Linked DNA regions of Callithrix jacchus. The protein of the gene in region 1 interacts with the protein of each later gene in a biochemical or structural test. Links are inferred from orthologs where the notes say so. Each region holds a gene or a part of one and is shown in the gene's direction. Other genes may lie near its edges. The genes, in order: PLG, THBS1 and SERPINF2.

Region 1 (2,903 bases):
CTTTTTCGATTTGGCAAAGAAAATAAAGCACGTTTTCACAAAGGCAGAAATACAACTAGGAGAATGTTCACTCTCCCTAATTGTCAAAGAAGTGTAAATTGGAAAATGAATCGGGACAATTCAACCTATTAGATCAGCTAATATTTTAAAACTTAAACACTCATACAAGTGAGGTGAAGCGATTATTTTCTAGTGATTATGGTACATTGTCACACCCTTTTAAAGAATAATTTGGCAGTGTTACTGTAAGACAGAAATATGCCTGTATGATTTATGGGAACTTAGGCTCAGAAAATATTAAGGAATAAGAGTGAGCTTTATGAACAAAGATGTGGAACCATGGAAGCAAGAGTAGGGCCAACATGCACGAGGAGGGAGCATTTGGGCAGTGACTCTGCAGACCCAGGCTCAAGCTCAACTACACAACGTCTTTGAGCCTCAGTTTCCTTAACTGTAGAAAAGGAATGACAAAAGCCCCTGTTTCATAGGACTGTTGTGAGGATTAAGTGAGATGCACCACATTATAAGTTTGCGCCCGTAAAGGTTAATTCTTGGTAAATGATGACTATTCTTTTTTATTGCAATAAAATATACAAAACATGAGGTTTACTATTTTAACCATTTTGGAAGGTTCCACTGAGTGGCATTTAGTACATTCACAACGTTGTGCAACCATCACCGTATTTCCAGAACATTCTCCTAATCCCCAAAGGAAACCTCATGACCATTCAGCAGTAGCTCCCCATTAACATGTTAGTTATGAAGATTGTAGCATTATAAAAAAAAACTCATGATGCAACATTGGGAAAAAAATCGAGATGAAATTTTGCAATATTATGTAATAAGTAAAAGAAGCATATAAAAAGTCTGAAAAAATAGTATATACAACAATAGCAACTACATTCTCCAGACTCTACATTGTAAACATTATTATTTATAATTTTAAAAGCAAAAAGTAAACAACCAACCCCAAAGCACCATGACACAGCCCAGATTGTTAAATCCAGGCCTCGGGAACATAGAGACGTGTATGACGTTTACACTCTGCAGGGTCAGAGGGTCCCACGGCACTGGGAGCTGCCTTGTGTTCCGCAGCTTCCTGGACAGACAGGAGGCCCAGCACTGCCGCTCTGATCTTCTGGAACTTCCTCCTGATCATGTTTTGGGAGCGGTAACCATTTCTTTCATCTTTTTAAACACAGGTACCTTTGGGGTTGGCGTTCTCAAGGAAGCCCAGCTCCCCGTGATTGAGAATAAAGTGTGCAATCGCTACGAGCTTCTGAATGGAAGAGTCAAATCCACCGAGCTCTGTGCTGGGCATCTGGCAGGAGGCACTGACAGTTGCCAGGTACGAAAAGATCAAGAGACCAAGCTTAGTCTTGTGTCCTCCTGTCTCAGTCTCAGCCCCCTAGGCTTCAGTCCCCAGGTGGCAAATTCAAGAAGGATTTGTCAACTAAAGACCCCAGTCTAAGTGTTGCTCAGAAACTCCCTAGATCTGTGCCTGAACACATATTCAGATCATCTAAGGGGAGGTCTTGGGGCTCGGGTTCCAGATGGGTAGCAAGGGAGTTATAAGGTCTGTAACTACCTCAAGCCATTCGCCCTCCTGGGGTGTGCTAGTGGCTAGGGACTAAAGTGGTGACTTTTCCAGCAGGGAAGGAGGTAGAGGGCACAGGACAGAGACCAACTGCACACACTTTACAAGGATGCCCAGGCTAGCCCAGTCTAAAGGAAACCCCAACATAGGAAGGGATCGCACAGGATTCACAGGGATTTGTTTTTCCCCAGGAAAAACTAAGTGGTGTGGTTTTGCTGAATACACTTTGCCAAGTACTTAAGCACTGCAGATGCTCAAGTAATATGCTCATAAGTGCCTTTCTGATTTCAATTACTGGGAAAATGTACGTATGGATAAGAGAAGGGTGGTATCCCCTATTAAAAGGCTGGCAGCATTGCCCTCACATGGATTTTTCTCTCCCTCTGTATAGGGTGACAGTGGAGGGCCTCTGGTTTGCTTCGAGAAGGACAAATACATTTTACAAGGAGTCACTTCTTGGGGTCTTGGCTGTGCACGCCCCAATAAGCCTGGCGTCTATGTTCGTGTTTCAAGGTATGTTACTTGGATTGAAGGAGTGATGAGAAATAATTAACTGGACGGGAGACAGAGTGAAGCATCGACTCACCTAGAGGCTGGAACGTGGGCAGGGATTCAGCATGCTGGAAATAACTGACAGTAACCAAATGAAGACACTGTCCCCAGCTACCAGCTACGCCAGACCTCAGCACTTTTTGTATCATTGTCTGACTGCTGGTTTCTGTAATAAGATGACATAGCTATGACATTTGCTAAAAATAAACTCTGTACTTAACGTTGATTTGAGTACATTTTGGCTTTTGTCTTCAACATTTTCACGTTCTTGGTTCACCCCACCAATTTTAAATGGGCAGACTGAGGGGGTTGACTGTGTTTGATAAGAAACAGCCGGGCAAAGGACGGAGAAGGCTGAGGTCACAGAGGGGAGAGCCGAGTATTCCTTGGAAGTCGTCCACGCATTTGCCTCATCGGCTAACGAGGGCTTGACGCACATTTCCACTGTCTTTATTCCTAACACTGAGACGAACGTTTTCAAAGCTGCAACATGTACGGAGAGCCCTGAGAGCCGGTTCTGTCATTGGGAATGAAATCTGTTGCTGACTGTCGACTTGAGCCCAGAGGGGACCCAGAGCAGAGAGGGGTATATCAGGGAGTGAACTGGGCCATGAGTGTATAACACAAGAGCAGCTGAGAGTCTGAATGTTATTCTGGAGCACGTGTGAGTCTAGGACGGGTGCCAGGAGCATGTGAATGGACAGCAAGCTAATACTGAAGGTGGACCCCTTATTTCCCATCGCTCATTTCCTGC
Region 2 (4,239 bases), on another chromosome or scaffold:
CTGTTTGATGAACGTAAACCCGTGGCTGTTTCCAGCAGTCAGGAGTCCTGCCAGATTTAAGCACTAAGATGGGAAATGAGCCCCAGGGGTTTCCCCCTGCCTGTGCTGCGATCCTTATTTGGTCAAGCTTCTACCTATGCCCTGGCCTCGGAGCCAGCCAGATAGCCTGGACCAAAGCAGAGGGAGCGAGGCTGCTGACGTCCCATCCCGAAGAGATGAATGGAATTCCAGGCAGCTGGAGTCATGCTGGCTTGGGACAGTGGCTTGGAGACCAGACTTCAATGACAGAAGCACTAGGCAGCGGCACTCATGGCAATGTGTGCACCCACAGAAACGTAACTCACACCTCGATTTCAGGAGCCGAAAAATGAAAAGAACGTTTAGGGAGGAAAAAGGGAAATACAATAATAAGCAGAGGGTAATTTATTACTCTATGGGTCTGTTCTGTAAATAGTTGAAGACTCTGGAGCCAGATGGTTCTGCAAATTCTCCAAACAGGAGTCACGTTAAGAAGCACGAGTGGGCACAAAAACTGTTTTCCAAGACACAATTTCAATTTGGCTTGAGGAAACTGGATACGAGTAAGTTTCCTTAAAATTCGAGTAAAGAGCCGCTGTCCTCCCCGGGCCCCTTGATGAGAACACGCATACCGCCCCCAAGCGGCCGGCCGAGGGAGCGCAGCGGCAGCGGGAGAGGCGCCTCCGTGGGCCCCGGGTGGCCGCGGCAGGAAAGCTTCCGAAGGCGAGCGCCGCGCACCGCCCTGCCCGCCCGGCCGACGCCGAGCTCACCTCCCGCCAGGGCGGGCGTGCGGCCAGCCCGGGACGGGGGATCGGGGCACGCGTGGTCCTCACCCCACCGGGACGGTGGAGGAGGGTCAGCGAGGGCCCAAGGGGCCGCTGCTTGAATGAATGGCTCTTTCGGGGTCCCCTGCGCCCCGTCGGCCCATTTTTCTGGTCACAAAACGGGCCCCCTGTCCCATGTACCCCTCTCAGCCCTCGCCCAGGCAGTCCGGGAGACAAGCTCGCCCGAAAGCCCCCGCCCCACCCCGCGGGCCCTGGGTGGTCGCCGCAGCCCAGTCCCTGCTCGGGATGCTCGCTGACCGCCCCGGGCCCGCGTGGCGCAAGAGCGCGAGCGCCGAGCCCGTGAGCGCCAAGGCTGCGTGGGCGGGCACCGACTTTTCTGAGAAGTGCCAGTGCTACCAAGCCCCGACCCCCGCCCCCTTCACTTTCTAGCTGGAAAGCTGCGCGCCAGCAGCGGGGGGCGGAGAGGAGCCCAGACTGGCCCCCTCCCGCTTCCTGCCCGGCCGCCGCCCATTGGCCAGAGGAATCCCCAGGAATGCCAGAACTCCTTTAAAAGCGCGCGGCTCCTCCGCCTTGCCAGCCACTGCGCCCGAGCCGGCCTGCGAGTTCAGGGCTTCTGCAGCTCTCCCGGCGCTACCTCCACTCCGGACGCACCGGCGACACCCCGCCTCTGCAGCCCTCGCCGCCCTCGTCCCCGCTCCTGGCCGCCGCGCTCCGGTCCACACAGGTAAGACGCCTCCGCCGAGGACCAAGGCTGCCCGGGCCACCTACCTGGAACGCTGAGGCTTCGGTCCCTTTGGTGGACCCCGGATCCCACATTCTTCCCCGCTCACCTGCCCCAGCCCGCCCCTCCCGCCCGCTGGGGGACTTTTCAGGACAAAGCTCCAGAGCCATCCTCTCCAGCCTTGGGGTTCACAGACCACCTCATCAGGACACACCAAGATTTCCTTACTGGTCTTCCTTAAACCTTTGTATTGGCAGTCCAGTTAACAGTCTGTACTTTCCCGTGCCCTCTCTGCAACCACTACGGCTCCTGATCTGGTTCACCTTCGACTTCCCAGAAGCCCCCAAATTGTTGGTCTTGCGCCCCCACACTTTAAAACCAGCATCTCTTTCCTCCACTACTCACTCTCACACTCTCTCTCTCTCTCTCTCTCTCTCTCTCTCTCTCTCTCTCCTCTCTCTCTCTCTCTCTCTCAAGTAATCCTGTTGTCCTTCATTCAGCAAAGAGGGATGGCCCCGGCCCCATGCCCAGCCCAGTTTCTTTTTCTGCCCACCCTCCCTGCCTAGCTGATCTCTGACCCTGGGCTCTTGTGCTGCAGGATCGTTCCTGCTACAGGATCCCTGCTGGGCACCAACAGCTCCACCATGGGGCTGGCCTGGGGACTAGGCCTCCTGTTCCTGTTGCAAGTGTGTGGTACCAACCGCATTCCAGGTGAGTTTGTGTGGCACCTTTACGGGAAGGAGGGATGAGGATGAGGTGCTGGCTACCCCAGGTGTGCCCCCTGACATGCTGTTCTCTCCCAGCTCCTTTTCTCTTGAGCCAGACTGGACATCAGGAGGCAGCTTCCCTCTGATCCTGGTCTTTATTCAGCTCTTTCAGTGGTTGCCAGGAGTTTCCACCCCAGCCCTTGCTCCCCACCCCTAAGGACTCAGCCCCCTACTGCTGGTCCCAGCCTAGAAATCTCACTATATGTTCTCTCCTGTCTAACAGAGTCTGGGGGAGACAACAGCGTGTTTGACATCTTCGAACTCACCGGGGCTGCCCGCAAGGGATCTGGGCGCCGACTGGTGAAGGGCCCTGACCCTTCCAGCCCAGCTTTCCGCATTGAGGATGCCAACCTGATCCCCCCTGTGCCTGATGACAAGCTCCAAGACCTGGTGGACGCTGTGCGGGCAGAGAAGGGTTTCCTCCTTCTGGCCTCCCTGAGGCAGATGAAGAAGACCCGGGGCACGCTGCTGGCCCTGGAGCGGAAAGACCACTCTGGCCAGGTCTTCAGCGTGGTCTCCAATGGCAAGGCGGGCACTCTGGACCTCAGCCTGACGGTTCAAGGAAAGCAGCATGTGGTGTCTGTGGAAGAAGCTCTCCTGGCAACCGGCCAGTGGAAGAGCATCACCCTGTTTGTGCAGGAAGACAGGGCCCAGCTGTACATCGACTGTGAGAAGATGGAGAACGCTGAGCTAGACGTCCCCATCCAAAGCGTCTTCACCAGAGACCTGGCCAGCATCGCCAGACTCCGCATCGCAAAGGGGGGCGTCAATGACAATTTCCAGGTGAGGCTTCTTCTCTGAGCCCTGCTACATGGGATCATCTGCTAGACAGGTGACCTGCCAGGAGGGCTACAGGAAATCCTGAATGTAAACTAAAGCAGCAGTTCTCAGATTTTAGGCAGCATGAGCATCACCTGGAGGGCTTGTGAAAGCTCACACTGCTGCACTCCAGTCCCAGAGTTTGGGATTCTGTAAAACTGCAACTCAATTACAAGTACCAGGTGATGCTGATGCTGGTGGTCTGGGAAGCACACTTTTAAAACGACTCAAGGAAACAAGAAATGGTTTTCCTTCAGCAGTCAGCCTGTTCAAACGTTAGATACTCCTTAAGCTCTTAAGAAAATCGCTTATTTCATATGCATTCCCCCAATTTTAATCGTTTGAAATTGATACTTTCTATGGGCAGAATCAGTACCACTTTGCTATCGGAGTTCTCATGGGGATGCAGCCAGTCTCACACAAAAGGTTAAAATAGCAGTGAGCTGTTGCTGTTACAGCTTCTTCTGTGCCTTAACTTCTAGATCTTTGCAACTGTGGCTTTGATCTCCCATATTTAACTCTTTGACACTGGGACGTGTCATTATATCCTCTGGGCTTAAGATCAGATTCCATTTCCTGTGTACCCAAGTAGACTGATAACTGAATTCTTTATAAAATACTCAAGACTTGGCAGAAGTCGCAATTAAGATGTTGAAGTTTTTTGGCAATTTATGTTGGTGTGTTGTTTTGACACAGTGATCTTAAAAAAGCTCTCTGAAGCTTTTAGAATATCTGTTGTGTGCTTTTCCTAGCACAAAGACAGTCTCCCCCAAACCCATCCCACATCCTCTCAGCATTCTACATGTAATGTGTGTCCTCTGTCCACAGGGGGTGCTGCAGAACGTGAGGTTTGTCTTTGGAACCACACCAGAAGACATCCTCCGGAACAAAGGCTGCTCCAGCTGTGAGTACTCCTTTATCCTTAGGGCTCATAGGGAGATGGGGGAATTCCACTAAAAACAAGGGGAGGAATTTAGCAATAGTGGTTATATGTCAGTTACCCCCAGTAAGATCATTAAGCATACAAAAGAGACCTCAAGGGGTACTGTGCACACACGTACACACACATGCCCACATACAACCCCTCTACCTTCATCCTTCACCCCAAATGAAATGTCTTATACCACTA
Region 3 (3,649 bases), on another chromosome or scaffold:
GGGTTCAAGTGATTCTCCTGCCTCAGCCTCCAGAGTAGCCGGGATTATAGGCATCTGCCACCACACCAGGCTAATTTTTGTATTTTTAGTAGAGACAGGGTTTCACCCTGTTGGCCAGGCTGGTCTCAAACTCCTGACCTCAGGTGATCCACCTGCCTCGGCCTCCTGAAGGGATTATAGACATGAGCCACTGTGCCTGGCCTCTCCTGGTGATTTTTACGTGACAGTTTGATAGCTGTACTCTCTCCCATTGTGCTGGAGGGTTTTGCTCTGGGAAACGGAAGCCCAGAGAGGGAAGGTCACTTGAGAGACGTGAGGTCACCCAGGCTGTCAGCCACGGGGGAAAGACTCAGTCATGCAGAGCAGAACCGTGGCTGTGGGAGGGCACTGTGCGGTCCTGTGGGCATGCTCATCACAGGTATCCAGGAGGGACTGGAGCAGGCAGTGGGGGTGAGAAAGGGCCCCAGCAGGCCTCAGCCGGTGCACTGCCCTCCAGGTGCTCAGAACCACACGCTGCAGAGGCTGCACCAGGTGCTGCATGCCGGCCCTGGGCCCTGCCTTCCCCATCAGCTGAGCCGCCTCTGCCAGGGCCTGGGCACCGGCACCTTCCGACTGGCCGCCAGGATGTACCTGCAGAAAGGTGGGTGCTGAGGCCGGGGACCCTCCATCCTGACCTGGGGTGAAGGAGGGTGAGAGACAGGGGCTGGGCCTCCGGCAGCGGGTAGGAGCATGGCTGACCGTGGAGCCTGAGTCCCAGGGACAGCCTGTGCTCCCTGTGTGCAGGATTTCCCATCAAAGAAGAGTTCCTGGAACAATCAGAACAGATATTTGGTGCAAAGCCTGTGAGCCTGACGGGAAAGCAGGAGGATGACCTGGCAAACATCAACCAGTGGGTGAAGGAGGCCACGGAGGGGAAAATTCCGGAGTTCCTCTCCCAGCTACCAGAAGACACGGTGTTGCTTCTCCTCAATGCCATCCACTTTCAGGGTGCGCTCCTCCTCCTCATACATCCCCCACCTGGCATCACCCATGCCATAGGCCGAGCTGGGATGTGCAAGCTTTTTTTTCTTTTTGAGACAAGCCTCACTCTTGTTCCCCAGGCCAGGAGTGCAATGGTGCGATCTCAGTTCACTGCAACCTCCGCCTCCTGGGTTCAACCGATTCTCCTGCCTCAGCCTCCGAGTAACTGAGATTACAGGCCCTGCCAGCATGCCCAGCTCATTTTTTTGTATTTTTAGTAGAGATGGAGATTCACCATGTTGGCCAGGAGGGTCTCAAACTCCTGACCTCAGGTGATCCACCCGCCTTGGCTTCCCAAAGTGCTGGGATTACAGGTGTGAGCCCCCGTGCCCAGCCCCCGCTTTTTTGACTGATTCTTGCTCTGTCACCCAAGCTGGAGTGCAATGGCACAATCTCAGCTCACAGCAGCCTTTGCCTCCTGGGTTCAAGCTATTCTCCTAATTAGCTGGGATTACAGGCATGTGCCACCATACCTGGCTAATTTTTAGTAGAGACAGGGTTTCACCATGTTGGCCAGGTTGGTCTTGAACTCCTGACCTCAGGTGATCTGCCCACCTCAGCCTCCCAAAGTGCTGGGATAACAGGCGTAAGCCACAGCCCCCGGCCATACAGGCTTTGTTCTGAGGGTCCCCTTTCTCCTCTGTCTGGGCCATGAGGCAGGGGGCATCTGGGTGTGGTGGGGGCGGATGCCCAGGAGCCAGATGAGGTTGTCCTAGAGGGAGTACCTGGGAACAGATGGTCTGTAAAGACCCAGGGGAGATTCCTGGGGGCATTGCTGGGGTAGCGGGGAAGCATGAACCCAGATTTCAAAACCCCGCAGGAAAGAGACCTCAATCCACTGGATGCCACCGACATTCCCTGGGGTCTTGGCCTCTACCGCTCTCCACCTCTTGAATGGGTGCTGGGTGGGATGGGCAAGGGGCTGGGCCCCATCTCCATGACCCCTGCCTCTGCCTGGTTGCAGGTTTCTGGAGGAACAAGTTTGACCCGAGCCTCACCAAGAGAGGCTTCTTCCACCTGGATGAGCAGTTCACGGTGCCCGTGGAGATGATGCATGCCCCCACGTACCCGCTGCATTGGTTCTCACTGGAGCAGCCTGAGATCCAGGTTGTCCCCAGCAGGCTGGGCCTGAGTGCTGGGAGGCTGGGAGTGGAGGGGACAGTCTGTGGAGCCTACACAGGGCTGGGTGGTGGGTGTTTCGCTTTCCTTGCTGCCACTTCTCAGGGGCAGGCAGTTCCAAAAGGTTCCACATCCCTCTTCCTACCTGGCAGGAGGACTGAGGCTCCAGGCTCTTTGAGGTTCATTAATTCAATGAAAATATAGGGGACATTTGCTGTGTGCTTAGACACTGTTGTAAGCACTAGGGTTTTTGTGGAGCATGAGGGAGGCCGGGCCTCTGCTCTTGGGAGGCAAGATCCACAGGGCAACAGTAAACGTCCATCAACACAGGAATTCCAGACAGTGGAAGCACTATGGAGGGAAAGCTGAAAGAGAAGGTGATTTTGGCCCGGAGCGATGGCTCATGCCTATAATCCCAGCACTTTGGGAGGCCGAGGCAGGTGAATCATAAGGTCAGGAGTTCAAGACCAGCCTGGCCAAGACACGAAACCTCGTCTCTACTAAAAATACAAAAATTAGCCAGGCGTGGTGGCGAGCACCCATAATCTCAGCTACTCGCTTGAACCTGGGCAGCAGATATTGCAGTGAGCCGAGATTGTGCCTGCACTCTAGCCTGGGTGATAATGAGGTCAGGAGTTTGACACCAGCCTGACCACCATGGTGAAACCCCATCTCTACTAAAAATACAAAACTGAGCTGAGCGTGGTGGAGGGTGCCTGTAGTCTCAGCTACTCAGGAGGTTGAGGCAGGATAATTGTTTGAACCCAGGAGGCAGAGGCTGCAGTGAGCTGAGATTGTGCGCCTGGCAACAGAGCGAGATTCCGTCTCAAAAAAAAAAAAAAAGCTGGCCTCAAACTCCTGACCTCAGGTGATCCGAGCACCTCAGCCTCCCTAAGTTTTGGGATTGCACGTTACAACCACCACATCTCGCCTTATTTAGGTAGTTTAGAGTGGTCAGGGAGGATTCTTTGAGGAGGGGCACTGAACTGAGACTCAGGTGACCATCGTTGATGAGGGTTCATACAAGGCCCTCACACAGTGTCCTTAGAAGGGAGGATCTAATTGGACTGGATTTCCTTCATCCTGTGTGGAACATTCTGATTCTATACACTTTTTTTTTTTTTTTGAGACTGAGTCTCGCTCTATCCCCCAGGCTGGAGTACAGTGGTGTGATCTCAGCTCACTACAACCTCTACCTCCCAGGTTCAAGCGATTCTCCTGCCTCAGCCTCCTGAGTAGCAGGGACTACAGCACCACCACGCCTGGCTAATTTTTGTATTTTTAAAAGTACAGATGGGGTTTCACCATGTTGGCCAGGCTGGTCTCGAACTCCTGACCTCAAGGGATCTCGTGTTGGCCTCCCAGTGCTGGGATATTACAGGCCTGAGCCGCTGCGCCCGGCTCTGATTAGATAAAGTTCTGTGCCGAGCTGTCTCAGGTGTTGCCTCCCTTGCTTCTAGCCTAACTGTAGTCCCCTTGGCCTGGGCATTGAGCCCTGGGCAGGACAGCT

Evidence for each region.
Region 2: the proteins of PLG (region 1) and THBS1 form a complex in vitro, tested with the Homo sapiens proteins (2 studies listed by BioGRID). The link is inferred for Callithrix jacchus from reciprocal best matches to the Homo sapiens genes PLG and THBS1.
Region 3: the proteins of PLG (region 1) and SERPINF2 form a complex in vitro, tested with the Homo sapiens proteins (2 studies listed by BioGRID, with this or other methods). The link is inferred for Callithrix jacchus from reciprocal best matches to the Homo sapiens genes PLG and SERPINF2.

Annotation. Positions count from the first base shown.
Region 1 is NC_133505.1:167,360,738-167,363,640, forward strand, and holds the end of PLG (plasminogen), read left to right. Parts: intron 1-1,202; coding exon 1,203-1,348; intron 1,349-1,988; coding exon 1,989-2,150; 3' UTR 2,151-2,373; downstream 2,374-2,903. UniProt on the Homo sapiens protein: Plasmin dissolves the fibrin of blood clots and acts as a proteolytic factor in a variety of other processes including embryonic development, tissue remodeling, tumor invasion, and inflammation. In ovulation, weakens the walls of the Graafian follicle.
Region 2 is NC_133509.1:47,076,239-47,080,477, reverse strand, and holds the start of THBS1 (thrombospondin-1), read left to right. Parts: upstream 1-1,378; 5' UTR 1,379-1,527; intron 1,528-2,122; 5' UTR 2,123-2,168; coding exon 2,169-2,235; intron 2,236-2,514; coding exon 2,515-3,074; intron 3,075-3,938; coding exon 3,939-4,014; intron 4,015-4,239. UniProt on the Homo sapiens protein: Adhesive glycoprotein that mediates cell-to-cell and cell-to-matrix interactions.
Region 3 is NC_133506.1:66,495,303-66,498,951, reverse strand, and holds part of SERPINF2 (alpha-2-antiplasmin), read left to right. Parts: intron 1-496; coding exon 497-640; intron 641-783; coding exon 784-987; intron 988-1,984; coding exon 1,985-2,127; intron 2,128-3,649.